Mytilus edulis: one gene and its partner. The protein of the gene in region 1 purifies or fractionates together with the protein of each later gene. This does not show direct contact. Links are inferred from orthologs where the notes say so. Each region holds a gene or a part of one and is shown on either strand. Other genes may lie near its edges. The genes, in order: cilia- and flagella-associated protein 20 and CLK4-associating serine/arginine rich protein-like.

Evidence for each region.
Region 2: the proteins of cilia- and flagella-associated protein 20 (region 1) and CLK4-associating serine/arginine rich protein-like purify together in Homo sapiens (affinity purification with mass spectrometry; 3 studies listed by BioGRID and IntAct, counting the BioPlex papers as one, with this or other methods). This does not show direct contact. The link is inferred for Mytilus edulis from reciprocal best matches to the Homo sapiens genes CFAP20 and CLASRP.

Annotation. Positions count from the first base shown.
Region 1 is NC_092348.1:4,770,640-4,778,794, forward strand, and holds the start of cilia- and flagella-associated protein 20, read left to right. Parts: upstream 1-4,699; 5' UTR 4,700-5,050; coding exon 5,051-5,134; intron 5,135-5,760; coding exon 5,761-5,840; intron 5,841-6,396; coding exon 6,397-6,508; intron 6,509-6,829; coding exon 6,830-7,018; intron 7,019-7,323; coding exon 7,324-7,446; 3' UTR 7,447-8,155. UniProt on the Homo sapiens protein: Cilium- and flagellum-specific protein that plays a role in axonemal structure organization and motility. Microtubule inner protein (MIP) part of the dynein-decorated doublet microtubules (DMTs) in cilia axoneme, which is required for motile cilia beating.
Region 2 is NC_092346.1:7,115,997-7,124,465, forward strand, and holds the start of CLK4-associating serine/arginine rich protein-like, read left to right. Parts: upstream 1-4,802; 5' UTR 4,803-4,940; intron 4,941-8,469. UniProt on the Homo sapiens protein: Probably functions as an alternative splicing regulator. May regulate the mRNA splicing of genes such as CLK1. May act by regulating members of the CLK kinase family.

The DNA of each region.
Region 1 (8,155 bases):
GAGTTTTGAGTGTATGTAAAAAGTCGGGACAGAGATTTCAACTTAAAAAGGCTGGATAAAAAATTTCATCATAGCACCCAAAATAAATCAAATAGTATCTACCTGAAACAATTCGAATGAGAAAACGGTTTACCCACTATTATGTTGTCTTGCAGTCTCATAGCTATGAACTGGAAAGAAGAATATGTTTAAATTATAGTTTTCTGGTTTTTACTGGCATTGACTGGAACTATGGAAGGTGTTGCAAGGTGGGTTTTTTTATTTTATTTTTGAGGGGTTTAAAATATTAAAAAGTATCAAATTTAGGATTTGTAAACGTTCGATCACATTTCGATGTGCCTAATTAACACCAACCTGACACAATGAACAACTTCGTGAACGCTAAATTGTTCTCATAATGTCATAATATTGACACATGACTCAATCTTTCCAATGAAAATAAATATTAGAGTAGTCTCGCGTGAGTCTTGCATTTTTCTAAAATAAAAATAGCTGAAGTGAAATAATTGAAAATGATGCAATAATTTTTGCCAGTATAGGAGAGATTTTGGGAAGTTTTGTATTTATTTTCAAATGAAAATGTTGTTGAAAAGTGCATTTACAATGCCTCCCTAGAAAATTATTTGTCTAGATTTTATTAAAAAAAAAATCTACATCCTTTTCATTCTTTTCAAAATCATGCAATTGAAAATCCCCGTGTACTTGATATTCATTTGGAAAAATCTCCATCTTTGTGTAATGGAATAAAAGTTTTAGAGTAACACTATCACCCGAGTAAAAATATGAAAATGAGATCAGAAAAACTGTGTGACTAGCTACACAGTTGGGTGGATTACAGCTCGAACGATACGCTAATTTTAATGCACTAGATGCGTATTACAACGTCTTTTTCAAAGATAATTGGAGACCAAATTATTTTAAAAAACCAACACCAATACAAACGACGAAGAGGAAATCAAATCGAAAGGGACCTAACAAGTATCGCCAAAACCGAACAAGGAATCAGCTTTGCATTAGGTAGAATTATTCCTTTTTAGTTTCCCAAATTCATGACCGTAAATATGATTTAAGCAATATCCGTATTTTACTGCAAGTACCAATGTAATCGGCGAACACAGCAAACATACATGAAATATTTGCAACTGGACGTTTAGCAAACAGCAATCTGAAGTGTCGCATAACCTTGACTTGCTAATCATCCATGTTCCCTGTAAATGTACGCGTGCTTAATATGGTTTCATCCACTTCATTTTAACTTTGGTGGATAGTTGTCTCATTGGCGATCATACCACATCTCCATATTTTCATAAAAATGGTCAACCCTATCAATATTGGATTGGTTGGAATTAGTACGTGCTCATCTTGTGGACAGAGTCTTCTCCTTATGTATATAAATGCTCAAATCACCGGGTATTGTACCAAAATTTTACTGTTTGCTAATCAAAGTCCTATGATAAGATTATTTTAAGATGCTTAAATAAAACCCGAGACATATACATCTGCATATATGTCTATGTATATAAAGATGGACTTTTTCGGTGATATAGCTATAGTAAAGGAAAAAAGTTCTTTACTGATTAAATAAATTCATAAGGGGTTCCGCTGCTGATTAAATAAATTCGTAAGGGTTCGTGGAACCCAGTTTCTCGCCTACTATTGCTGTAAGTCGCAGGCTCAACAAAAATGAGGAAAAAAATCAATAAAAATATTTCTCTTGATACTATCTTTTGATTGTAAGAAGCTTCTGTCCAAGTTTGGTAAAAATCCAGATTAGTTTATGAATCTAATAAATGTTTTAAAAACTTTAACTGCAGACTGTATGTAATGTTAATTGGAAGAAAAGTGCATTTATAAGTGAAATGCATGCCGATACACAGGAACACAATTTTGACAAAATTTCCTTTTAGATTCTAGCATTTGATCATAAATAAGCTTCTGTCCAAGTTTGGTACAAATTAAAAATAGTATAAGAAAGTTATTAAAATTTTAAAAACTTTTAACCACAGAGTGAATGTAATGTTTCCCCGCATAAAAACTTAAATTGAGAAAGGAAATGGGGAATGTGTCAAAGCGATAACAACCCGACCATATAGCAGACAACAGCCGAAGGCCACCAATGGGTCTTCAATGTAGCGAGAATTCCCGCACCCGTAGGTGTCCTTCAGCTGGCCGCTAAAATATGTATACTAGTACAGTGATAATGGACGTCATACTAAACTCCGAATTATAAACAAAAGACTAAAATTAAAAATCATACAAGACCAACAAAGGTCAGAGGCTCCTGACTTGGGACAGGCACAAAATTGCGGCGGGGTTAAACATGTTTATGAGATCTCTATATATATAGCCAATTAAGAAAAGTAAACGCATAACTAAGTCCATTTATATGTAAAATACGGAAAAAAATGGAATTTTATTTTTACAAAATTTACTTTTGGATACTACCTTATGATCATAAAAAAGCTTCTGTCAGTGTTTGGTAGAAATCCAGTATGGTTTAAGAAAGTTATTAAAACTTTAAAAAAAACTTTAACCACAGAGTGAATATTTGTGGACGCCGACGACGTCGACGGAATGTAGGATCGCTATGTCTCGCTTTTTCGACTAAAGTCGAAGGGTCGACAAATAGGAACATTATAAAAGAAAAATTCGTGAGGGTTCCGCGGAACCCAGTGTCTCGCCTACTCTTTCTGTTAATCGCAAGCTCAACAAAAATGAGGAAACAAATCAATAAAATATTCCTGTTGATACTATCTTTTGATTGTAAGAAGCTTCTGTCCAAGTTTGGTAAAAATCCAGGATAGTTTATGTAATAAATGTTTAAAAAATTTAACTGTACACTGAATGTAATGTTAACTAGAAGAAAACAAAATTTACTTCTGGATACTATCTTATGATCATAAACAATCTTCTGTCCAAGTTTGGTACCAACCCAGGATAGTTTAAGAAAGTTATTAAAATTTTAAAAACTTTAACCACAGAGTGAATGTAATATTTCCAGGCAGTCCATTTATAAGTAAAATACGGAAAAAATGGAATTTTATTTTTACAAAATTTACTTCTGGATATTATCTTTTGATCATAAACAAGCTTCTGTCCTAGTTTGGTAGAAATCCAGGATCGTTTGAGAAAGTTATTCAAATTTCAAAAACTTTAACCACAGAGGGAATATTTGTGGACGCCGCCGACGACGACACCGAGGACGACGGAATGTAGGATCGCTTAGTCTCGCTTTTTCGACTAAAGTCGAAGGCTCGACAAAAATGAATTTCATCCTCAACATCATCAGAATAACATCTGTCGCAATTATTACTTCATAAAGCACATTTGGATCAATATATCGCCAAGTTTCATCTTAAAACTTGCGATTACTTATTCTGAACTTTGAATATTGTTTTCTTTTTTTTCATACACATAAAAACAATATAATATTGTATAAAAATACAAATAAATTTTATAATCGGAGTTTAAATATCGCTATCCAGCCACAAATGACTTGTAATAATTGAAGAAAAGGATTTTCTTTTTCTTTTTTTTCAAGTTAAAAGGGGGGGGGGTCATTGTTTGATCATGCAGATGAGATTCAGCGTAAATTATCTTATCTTTCCTTTAAGACCTAGAAATAAGAAGTGTTATGATTGCCAATAAGTCAACTCTCCACCATATGACATAAATAAACAAGTGCAAATCACCATACGCGGCCTTCATAAATGAACAAAACCCATACCGCATAATAGTTAGCTATATATAAATGACCCCAAAATGAAAAATATAAAACAATTTAAATGAGAAATCTTACGGTTTGATTTATGTACGCAATCTAGTTACTTGGGATGATCAATGGCTATATTCACAGATGTATTTTGTATCCCATTTTTATTCGGGGGAAAACCTAATAAGCATGATAAGTTAAAGGTTATATGTTTTATACTACGCCGAGTTCACATTAATATTCTATTTCATATAATTTTTTTTTAGTAAATTATAATTTCTATAATCAATGATATTTCATCATATTTCAAATACACCAATTTGCTCAGTCCTATCAATATGAAAAAAATATTTAAATATTAAACGAAATCTATTTTTACTAAAAAAATACGTTACTTTTGGATACTCCAAACTGCATCAATATGTGATGAGCTTTCTCAATCCGCTACTATTTAAATTTACTGTAATAAAGGTTGACAAAGCTTGCGGATTCTTATGATCTTTTAATTCAAATACACTTTAATTAAAAGGATGTGTATACTTTACAATTGATATCAGTTTCTTTTTTTCTAATCAGACCCCCTCCCCCCAATAAAAAACCAACATATTCTACACTAGGCATTATATAGACGAGTAAGGCTAGTACTAACCTTACCTCAAGTGGTTAACTCTGATTCGCCATGATTTTCTATCAATGGACCACTAGACGTTTTACAGCACTCAATCTTCATCATTTCAGTAAAAAAAAAAACGGGGAAAAAAATAAATCTTTTTTTTTTAGAAAACAGTATACTTTGACATGAAATTATCGCCAAACACCTATTTAATTTACCTCTTGCAAATATTAAGACCAGTTTTTTAATCAGATTCCACAAATTACTTAAGTTGTTGATATTCACCAAAAAATACACTGTAAAACAACGAATGATCAATGTAAATAAAACCACGTGTGTCGTCTACTCGCTACAACAGAAGTACTAAGCGTGCCACTACATATATCACTACTCCAAATCCATATATTCAAATATCTTTTTAATTAAGGCATGACATAGGTTGAAACTTTCTGGTAATTTTCAAACTGCATTATTGATATAAATAATTTAAAAGAATAACAATAATATATGTGTTTATACTAATTCTCAATATAGTTCCCTAGCGTCACACGTAGCAACTAAAACCAAGCGCGACCGTATCGCCACCCTTGGCAACTTCTCTAACTTAACCGACACACAACTGAACCTTCACTTGACAACTGTCCACCACGAGAGAAGGAGCGTATTAGTGTGCTGTCCAGGAGGACTAAGAACTTAGAAAATTTTCACTATTATAGACAATAACAATGTTCAAGAATACATTTCAGAGTGGGTTCTTATCCATACTTTACAGTATTGGAAGTAAACCGTTACAAATTTGGGACAAAAAGGTAAGTTATTTTCATTCTATACACCGGTTATCATTACCATAGTGATACATTGATGTCAACATGAAAACCTTCAACTTCATCTAATAATAACATGACAGTATGCATAACTTGCTTCACAATTAGTTTAATATTATATGGTGTCATCACCAGATTTCTATTTCGAAAAATTAAGGCATTTGACAAGCAAGAAACTTTTGTTTTTGTTGACACACGGAAGTGCACGTGTAAACAACTTACAAGTGTTTGAATGTTATATGTTATACACAAATATTTTAATTTTATACACTACCATCGAGATTTATGATGACGGAAGTGTACAATTATTAATTTTTCGGAAGTAATGTCACTTTTAGTAGCCATATGTGATGTTGATGTTTATGAAGATGGAGATGTTCGTCATCTCGCTTCATTGAATTCTATGTCATTATTTTCATTCAATTGCACATTATAGAACATTTTATTAGAAAAACACTACTAGTTAACGATAAATAAAGTATGTTATATAATTTTGCATGGAGTTAGACCTCCGTTGCCAAGATAGTATTTTGTTTCCTGATCATCAACATCATGGCCGCCATTTGCATTCTAATAGACAATATTATAACATCATGTTATTATCGTTGTAGGTTAGAAATGGTCATATTAAACGTATAACAGACAACGATATCCAGTCCTTAGTTTTAGAAATTGTTGGTACAAATGTCAGGTATGTACTTAATCAACCATAAACAAATATTTCTTTGTTTTGAAAAAGAGATAATTTTGAATTATCTCCCTTAAGTAACATCTATGGTAACACATAATCAAACACAAATATACATGCATTTGGTTATTTAATGAGACAAATATAGCTAACTTTCATTTAATGCAATTTTAATTATTCTTATTTATGCAAAACATTACATATTCAATATAATTAGTTGAATACTGCATCCTATATTATTTTAAACATCTTTATTATGTCAAGTGACATGTGCAAGTTTTTAAAGTGATTCTGTAACACATTAGTACTTTGAAAATATTTTCTTTAAAATGTTAATCTTTTAAATATTTTCTATGCTACAAGTGTTAAAATTATTTGTTCTTACAACATAACAAGTTTGAATTGTTTTTCTACTTAAATAAATGCACATTTTATGTTAAATCTTGTATGTTTATTGACTGAATTTTAAAATTAATTATTGAAAGAACATACTTTTTATTTCTAGTAACAAATGTACCGGTATGAATAATATTTTGATATTTCCCTTTTCTATTTATAGCACAACATACATCACATGTCCAGCAGACCCAAAGAAAACATTAGGAATTAAACTTCCATTCTTAGTTATGATCATCAAAAACTTAAAGAAATATTTCACATTTGAAGTACAGGTAAGAATGTAGCAATTATATTTTTAATTTAAAGTCGACCTAAAAATGTTAGTTATGCAATTCTATCACTAAGCATGAAATGTGAATATGTTAAATGAAGAAACTTATCTTTACAAAAAAAAACATGTTACTTTAAAAGAACCCATTGGATTTCTGTTCAGAAATATAAATAAATAAACACACAAATGTGCATAATTCTTCAAATGTTTTTTTTACTATTTCTGTTGCAATTTAGTATAAATAAGTGACGAGTCAATAGACAATGACTTAACCATGATGGTCTTAAGTCCTTTTATAACATTTCTTTCTGTAATATTTTAGGTCTTAGATGACAAAAATGTGAGACGAAGATTCAGAGCTAGTAACTACCAAAGTACAACACGTGTAAAACCATTTATATGTACTATGCCAATGAGGTTAGATGATGGATGGAATCAAATTCAATTCAACTTGTCAGATTTCACAAGGAGAGCCTATGGAACAAATTACATTGAAACACTTAGAGTACAGGTTAGTATTGATTAACTTGTCAATGTATAAATCAGGTTAAATTGTCACAATCTTATGTTTAAGGTTAAGGTCTTGGGAATTATGGTAAAATAAGGAAATATATTGTACCACACAAACAAATAGTTACTTTATTTTACAAGAACAAAAAAGAAATTGGTCCTTTTCAGGAAATAGTGTAAAAAAGAATTGAGAGATGGTAGCCTTTCAACAATTTTATAACAAACTTTTGATGTACAGTTTTGCATTTTTTAATACCCATTTATTACAGTGATATTTTGATTTATTGTTTCTATTTCTTTTTTCAGATTCATGCCAATTGTCGAATTCGTAGAGTTTACTTCTCAGACAGACTTTATTCAGAAGATGAATTACCCGCAGAATTTAAATTATACCTTCCGGTGCAAAATAAAGGAGGCGTGAAAGCATAACAAAATGACTAATTAGACAGTGTATATAAATTATACGAAAAATAAAAATGTTCAAATGCTACTCAAGAACTGAAGGTGAATTATTGCGAGAATGTTGGATATTAAGAGATGCTGCCTGTTTTTACAAATGTCTTGCAAAAATGTTGTACGAGAGACCAATCAAACATGGCTGATTCCTGCCTAGAGTCTCGTTGAATATGCCATGATCATATACGAAACAAAGTGTTCATTTTAAATTGTCATTGATGTCATATTTCATATATCTCTTGTTGCATGAACAGTTATTTTCATATTTATAGGAAGACTCGGTGCAATTATACAGCCAGATTTAAAAATTGTTTATTAATTTTGCATAAATGATTTGATATTATTGTCTTTCTGGAACAAAATGACATTTAGTGCTTTAAAAACAATGTTTTCAAATTTTATACTGTGTTTATATTCCACACATATAGTACTTATTGATATGCAGATAATAATGTAAAGTTTAAATTTGGTTGTATTTGCCTGTAGATCTCCATATCTCCCGTAATTCTCAGGATATTTTTAAAACACAAATTGCATCTAGCATTTGAATAGAATACAAAATAAAGAAGATTTAATTCCATTTTAAGTTGGGATTTATTGCAATATTTTATTTTATATATATTTCGAAGTTGTCTTTTCCTGACTTGTTTTGTTAGTGGATAAATTTTCAAATTTTTTCCTG
Region 2 (8,469 bases), on another chromosome or scaffold:
TTGATTTAAGTAAAATCAGGAAATCCTTAAAATTTGAGATGTTTTATGAGACCAAAATAAGTCTCTTCATGAGAGGTCCCAATCAATTGCATGCCACAGGTTTAACCGCATACAACATATATACCATGAGTAAAGACAGCTTCAAATAGGAGTTGAGAATATCAAGGCATTCATTTAGGAAACAAAATATAAAGATGTGATAGATAAAATAAATGCATCCAGAATTCCAGATTATAAAGCAAACTGAGTGCATAAATTTATATTGCGATAGGTTTGTGCAATTTGCATAAGTCATCCGGTTAGTAGAAATTAGGATTTGCCAATGGATTATAATCGGGAAAAATATGTACATTCCCCAGTAATATATAAAAAAAGTCGAGCTTTAAAATAACTATTAAAATAGAAGCTGTAAATATATACTTTCAACATGCTTCTTCTATTCACAGTCAATTATTTCAATTCAAAAGCAAACACAAATTCAGCAACAATCTTTTGGTGAACCGGCAGTCAGCGGTCTTAGGTTCATGTATTGCTTTTCTTTTTTTTTAAAGAGAAAAACTTGTTTGTGCGTCTTATGTATTGGAAACATTTTTGTTCTAATAATCGATCATAAATATATATATTTTTTTTTAACTTTTATATCATGAAATTCATTACATGACTTCATAAAGTATATCGTTTTTTAGATATTCTAAAAATAACCGTGCACTATATGCTTTTGCCACTATCCGCTGTTTTCTATCTTCCTTCGAAAATATAGTTTAACATGTGACTATCTCTGAACGAATCAGATTAAAATACACAATACACAATATATAAACAAAGAAATAAGGTGAACTATGTAAGTAATACAGGATATCACAATTACAGTATGATGTATGAACATGTTTCAACTTACAAGTCAATCAATCGACCTCATTGACAGCCGTATTCATGTGAACTTTAATTTAATCCTTAGCTAGAGATTTATAACGCATGAATTGTGTTTGTTCTGTTTTGTTCATAAGGAAAAGAGCAGTTGCAAGTGAAACGAGGGTAAATCATTTAATTGACTTATTCGATCAACAAAAAATCAATCATACAGTTAAAAGCGATGATAAGCATTGTTTTTCATCTAGCTATAACATGAAATTAAACAGACCCATCTAATCTAATTGCACGAGTTCGCTATATCTATTTATATCTATATATATGTTAGTGGCCTAATACGATATATATGAGGTCAGTAAATTCCATTCTTTCAGGATTTTCAGAGCTGAAGACTGAAAGGGCTTTAAAAATAAAAACACACGTGACATTTTTTTTTATGTTTAGCACATTTCTAAACTGCCCTAGAGAACCTGGGACGTCCCAGAGAAAACGATATTATTTTCATTTGAAATTGTATAAATACTGGCGTTCATTACTTTTCCTCAAGGGATAACGTGTCACTTTGCTGATTAAACAAATAGGAATGGTTTCAATTGAAGACTCCATCCATTGTCTTATTTTATAAAACTATTATTAGAATTAATCTAATGTTGTTACATTTGACCTTTCAAGTAAAAACTTTTGCATAGTCGTGTAGCTCCGAACGTTTCTACGTATTTATGCACCCTTCCCGTTCAAAACTTATTAACTAACTTATTTGTTTTCTTTAGAGATTCTATATATATAAAGAAACTGTTGTTCATGGTCGGTTTTCGTTGGTTCATATCTGTCATATTTGGTTTTCGTAAATTGTTTTGCGATGAATTAGACAATTGTTTTTCTCATTGAGTTATTTCATATTTTTTATGTCGGGGCCTTTTATAGCCGAACTATACTGTATGCTTTATTTCTTCTTAATATTATGCTGAAGGCCGAACAGTTGCCTATTATTGCTTACATCTGACTCACATCTACTTCATACATTCCATTGGTGGATATTATTAGTTATCGTATAGTGTGCTAGTGACCTAATACGGTATATATGGGGTCAGTAAATTCCATATGGGGTGAGAGCGAAGCCAAATACAATGAAAGTCCCAACTATGTACTGGCTTCCGAAGCTACACAAAAAACCTTAAAAAAATAGATTTATTTCATCTTCAAGGGAAACCATTGATCCACTACTAAATTGTCTATTCTACTTACTAGTACACTTGGTACAATAAAAAACCTGATAATAAATTGTTCAAATAAGGCCTTTGAACATAGTGGAATTAATTACTTTTGGAGTGTCAAAAACTCGTTGGAAGTACCTGATAAATTGCATGCATATATTGGTGATTTTAAATCTGTTCAAAGTTTTGATTTTTCTACCCTATATACCACTTTGCCTCATATTCTTATTAAGAAAAAATTCACATCCCTAATTAAATGGGCATTTAAAAAGTCAGAATGCGACTGAGTACATATGTTCAAACTCTTTTAGGTCATTTTTTAGAAGCAATAAACAAAAGAACTATGTCAATTGGACATGCTTTGATACTATATATGCGCTTGAATTTTTACTTGATAACATCTTTGTTCGCTTTGGAGATTCCATATATCGTCAAGTTATTGGAATTCCAATGAGGACTAACTGTGCACCACTTATTGCGGACCTGTTTTTGTATTGTTATGAGTTACAATCTATGACTAAAATTAGCAAAGACCCATCGAAACAACATTTGATACAAAAATTTAACAATGCTTTTAGATATTTGGATAATATATTGGCTCTCAATAATGACGACTTCAGTATGTATACTAAAGAAATTTGTCCTGTTGAATTTACTTTTGATAAAGCTAATACTAGCAATGACCACTGCCCTTTCCTCGATCTTGATATCTATATCATTAACGGGAAGCTTAATACAAAAATTTATGATAAAAGAGATGATTTTTCATTTCCTATCGTTAATTATCCATTTTTAGATGATGACGTTCCCTTGTCACCGTCTTATGGTGTTTATATATCTCAACTTGTACGATTCGCTCGTGTATGTAACAACGTATTAGATTTTAGCGAGAGTAATTTGTGTATTACTGAAAAATTATAACACCAGGGTTTTCGATATCACAAACTAGTCAAAACATTTACTAAATTTTCTCATCGGTATAAGGAAATAATTCGTAAATATAACTCAACATGCAGACATCTTATACGTTCAGGTATTTCACATCCAATCTTTTATGGTAATATTCTTTACAAAGCACAAAAATGTTAGTATTCACCTCAAAAGCTTACAAAACCTTTAAACAGAGAGGATATAGTTACGATACTGTTGTCAGGTCATTAAAGATTGCATATTTTGGCTTTAATATTGATTCACTTATAGGGTCTTTGCATCGAAACTAAACACATTTATTTGAAAAAAACAGTTGTTGGCATGACACGGGTTATGTTCTTCTCATATATTTTATGATAGTACGATATTAAACCCCTAACGGGAGGGATTGTACCTGATATTAACCTGACATAATCTTTCAATCAGTTTATTTGAGGTCTGGAGCTGGCATGTCAGTTAACTGCTAGTAGTCTGTTGTTATTTATGTATTATTGTCATTTTATTTATTTTCTTTTGTTACATCTTCTGACATCGGACTCGGACTTCTCTTGAACTGAATGTTAATGTGCGTATTGTTATGCGTTTACTTTTCTACATTGTCTATATAGGTATAGGGGGAGGGTTGAGATCTCATAAACATGTTTAACCCCGCCGCAATTTTGCGTCTGTCCCAAGTCAGGAGCCTCTGGCCTTTGTTAGTCTTGTATGATTTTTAGTTTTAGTTTCTTGTGTATAATTCGGAGTTTAGTATGACGTGCATTATCACTGTACTAGTATACATATTTTTTAAGGGGCCAGCTGAAGGACACCTACGGGTGCGGGAGTTTCTCGCTACATTGAAGACCCATTGGTGGCCTTAGGCTGTTGTATGCTCTATGGTCGGGTTGTTGTCGCTTTGAAACATTCCCCATTTCCTTTCTCAATTTTATGCTCCTTAAAATAAACATGGTGGGTTTTTTCCACATGAGATGTTAATTTACACAACTAGTGATAAAACAGTTGTGTTCACAGCCGATGTTAGTTTCCTCCAACAGCAGTTGCCTAAAACCATGAATGCAAGTATGACCCCCCCCCCCCGCCCCCAGTATATGAAAGGAATGAGTAACTATATTCCGGATGATGCATGACTATCTTGAGTACCAGTCGGACATAACATGTGATGACTAAAGTGGCATTCATTTTACGTGTCTGATAAATGTTAGATCGTGCGTTGATATCTCTCTCGTAAATAGCCTGACTAGTTTGATATTAAAATTTTGCAGTGACATGGCTCCGGCAAAATCGAAAATTTACTATTTTTCTGGCTCTTAGTAAGCGATAGCCAATTTTGAAAGCAAAAACAGCAATCTGTTTACAGATAGGCAAATCATCAAAGAGCTGAATGATTACCATTCAAAAGCGGAAAATTAATAATGAAATTTTTTGAATTATTATCTCAATAGATAAGATTCCATATGAGAAATTATTGATTTCAGCCTACTTTAATATCACTTGAATGCCTTCGACCTGCATCGGACTGTTACCAAAAATATTACTGTCATTTTAGTATAGATCAGTATATACCCATGCAGCTTAATTCGACCCAGGAATCAGATCAATAATTTCAATTTTAAAAAAATAGAGAGAACTTAATTACATATTTCTTCTCAAATTGACGTCTTGGTGGTTTTAATTTTTCTATTTCTGTATAGAAACACCCTGCGTGAAAATGAAAAACAAATTTTGCACATGTTACAAGGACGAGGAAATTTGGGACAAGAGTAGGTATTTCATATGGGGCGAAAGCATGTTAGTGATTACCTCCCTTTGTTGCTTAGTCAGAAGCGAAATGCAAGATCAATTTGAGCTCCGTATTAGACAATTTTCTAGTTATTAGCCTTATAAGCACAAAAGGAGAGCCACACACTATTTATAATTGTTTCACAGGTGAGAGAAATTGTAAAGATTTACATTTGCATGCGCAGAGTTTGTTGTGTCGGGTATGGCCTATGCCATGGGATTAATTATTAGCCATTTACTCATTTGACATTGATTGGCAGTGGCCGGTAACTAAGAGTTCTTGAAGAAATTGAAGTACTACATAAGTTAAAAAGAGTGACCGACTTCAAAATGCATGGTGGCATCTATATCTTGTATCTCCCAGGGCCAGATCCAGTCTTTTTTTAAAAGGGGGTCCCAACCCAGGACAAAAAGAAGGGTTAGGGGGTGTTCCAACTATATGTCTCCATTCAAATGCATTGATCCTCCTAAAAAAGGGGGTTCCAATCCTGGAAACCCCTGGACCCACCACTGCTTCTGTTCTGCAGTTTGATGTATGCTATATATACAGATATATGTGCAGAATAGCTCTACAGGTTATAAAAAAAGAAATAATCTACTTCTGCATTTCTATGCCAAAGCCACTAATGATAATCTGGGTCTGTTTGCTCAAATCATGTTTGCCTAAAATCGGTTTTCATGAAACTTATACTCAATGGTTATAATACCACAAAACAGGTTGGGGACAACCCGCCAAATGGGGAACTGTTCCCCAAATGAGTAACAATCCCTCATTTGAGTAATCATTTCATAATGCTAAAAACTAAATTTTCTTAAAATAGGTCTTTTTAGGTAAGGCTTAAATTAAAATATTGATTGTTTGCCCTTTACCGACCGACCCTATAAATTCGTTGCGCCTGAAAATCTTTTATTTGTATTTACCAGAAAGATTTTATTTTATGTTATTTTTTCGTTCCTACCAAAAATCTTATATTTGTATTTCCCGCTCAAAACTATTTTATCCGGAATTCTCGGGTTTTATCTTTATCGTACAAGGTCCAGTCTGTTTGGTATCACCTGAGCGTTTGACATTAACACTTACATTTGAAGTTTCAAAGCATTTGTTTGAAATCGATTTTCAGCTTGTGAACGCTTTCTGAAATCATGATATGACGTACGCTACTCTGTACCTTTAACTTAAAAGAGCATGGTTCATTTACAAAAAAGTTCGTTTGATACAAAATTATCATCTTGTGTACAAACTAATTTGTAAACGGACGTTGTATTCTTTGTAGGGATGGCCTTTTGTGATCCGCAGATCTCCTGATGATTATGTTAACGATGCCGCTATATTATTTATATCTGACATGAACCAAAAGTGACAAAACCCTGTAAAGTGGAGAATATCTTGCAGTAAAATCGCCAAGTTGTCCATACAGATCATTTATAAATGCGATGTAAAAAACGTGACAATTGTCAGAGTTTTAGGTCTAGTAGCATTTTTATTGGAAACAAAGGCACACACGATGTTTTTAACACTCTAGGGACTTTTTCTACTAGTGATGTATGTCTGCCCAGACATATCTTATCAGTACAAAGTTATCTTTTACAGAAATTCTTAAGGTAAGCATACAAGGTACGTAGTACAGAATATAAGTGCAAGTTCAAACTCTTCAAAGTTCAGGCATATAAACGTTGAAGATATGCGGCACAGCTCTATTTAGTTATATTTGAAAACAAAATAGTAGTGCATATGAATTAGCTTCACATTCTACATGATTTTTTTTTTAAACTAATAGTCCCAGAAAACTTATTTGCAAAAACAAAACGGACACCAATGACATTTATATGCATCTATAAAATAAAATATTATACCTACCTGCCTACCCATGACAAATAATATACCGAGCCAAGTTATTTTTTTGGGGAAAAAAATAAAATATTTTACCTACCTACCTACCCTGTTTCAAAACATAGGGTCGGAAAAGGGCAAACAAACAATATTTTAATTTAGGCCTAAAATGGCACAAATTTATAGAAAATGGAACAACTTCTCCCAAAGAAATAAATTTTTATTGTGGGTTCAAAAAAAGTTAGAAGCCTAGAAAATAGTCAAATTTTCTGATTTTTCATAGGCTTGTATCTTCTCAGTAAATTAAGATAAGGATAATCATCTTTTAGAAAAGTTGCTGCATTTTTCATGAATATGTGCCATTTTAAGAAAAAAAGCTCAGTTAAGAAAATTTTGTTTTTAGCACTACAAAATGATTACTCAAATGAGGGATTGTTACTCATTTGGGGAACAGTTCCCCATTTGGTGGGTTGTCCCCAACCTGCAAAACACAGCTCAATTTGAATTTTGTTGGTGTCACTTATACTGTTTTCGAGTCATGCTCCGTTACAAATGGAAAAATTGTTGAAATTTTCATGTCTGTTCTCAAACTAAACTTCAGTTTGCCTCAACCAAATTATGGCAAATATTCTGAAATGTGACAAATGTATACACGACACTCATTACCACAAACACAAATCCATTTTAAATTTTGGTGTCATCCCTCATACCATTCTAATGTTTTCCCCATTAAAAATGTATAATGTAAAAAATTGCTGAATTTTCAGTTCTCTACATGTAACTTTAGTTTGCATCAACCAAATGTTACGAAACTTATGCAACATGCTAATTTTAAAAAACACATAACTCAGATCAAGTATCAAGTTGGGTAGCTTCACTCTTATTGTTCAACAGTTACATCATGTATATGTCCCTATGCAACTTTGAAAACAAGCAGTGGCATCATCTGTGATTCATGACACATCATCATTTTTTTTTTTCGTCTTCAAGTTAAAATGCAAATGTAACCATGGTAACTTTAATTCATTTATTAAAATTTTGCTACATTTTATAAGGAGTAAATGTCCTTCACATTATAAATTCACACCAGTTAGTTCTGGTTAGGAAGAGTACAATGTATGTTGCAGGCAAAATATTATAGGAGTCCGGACTTTGACAATGTACAGTCAGAGCTCAGACATAGGTCGATTTCTGTATTTGACTTAAAGAGAACAAAACATGTATTTATTGTAAAAATGTGTTTTCAATTTTAGACTTATCTAAGTCAGATAATGACAGACTTGTTTAGGTCTATTTTTGTTGATGAAAAAACTTAATTTTAATTGGTGGCCAAAGTACACCACCTATGACAGCAAAAAACTGTCTGAGTGTTCACAAGGACTTGAGCTACATTGTATCTATATTTAATTATCTAATTGAACATCCTTACTAAACACAGATGTTTTACCTCATTAAGTGTGGTTCCAGGTGGTTGCATTGTAAGGTTAATTAACATTATCTCCGATTTTTTATACTCTCATTCATATTTTTCTTCAGAAGACAAAGCATTGTCTTTCAATGTAGTCATTATTTGATTTAGATGCATGACCTTTTTATAAATATGCATGGGTCTTGAAGTTAACCAATTTTGGTAACTTATCGATTTGTAGGAGTCGACATTTGCAAATTTTTGATTCTGGTCAATTATTTCTTGCTTAACAATATTTGACTAATTAAAGTCGTATTTTGTCTTGCATTAAAGGGAGACAAATCCTAAAACTTACAAATTTAGACCTCTATGAGTCAAAAGCAGATTCAGACTTATTTATGTCTGAGCTCTGACTGATGTACAAGGAAATATATACA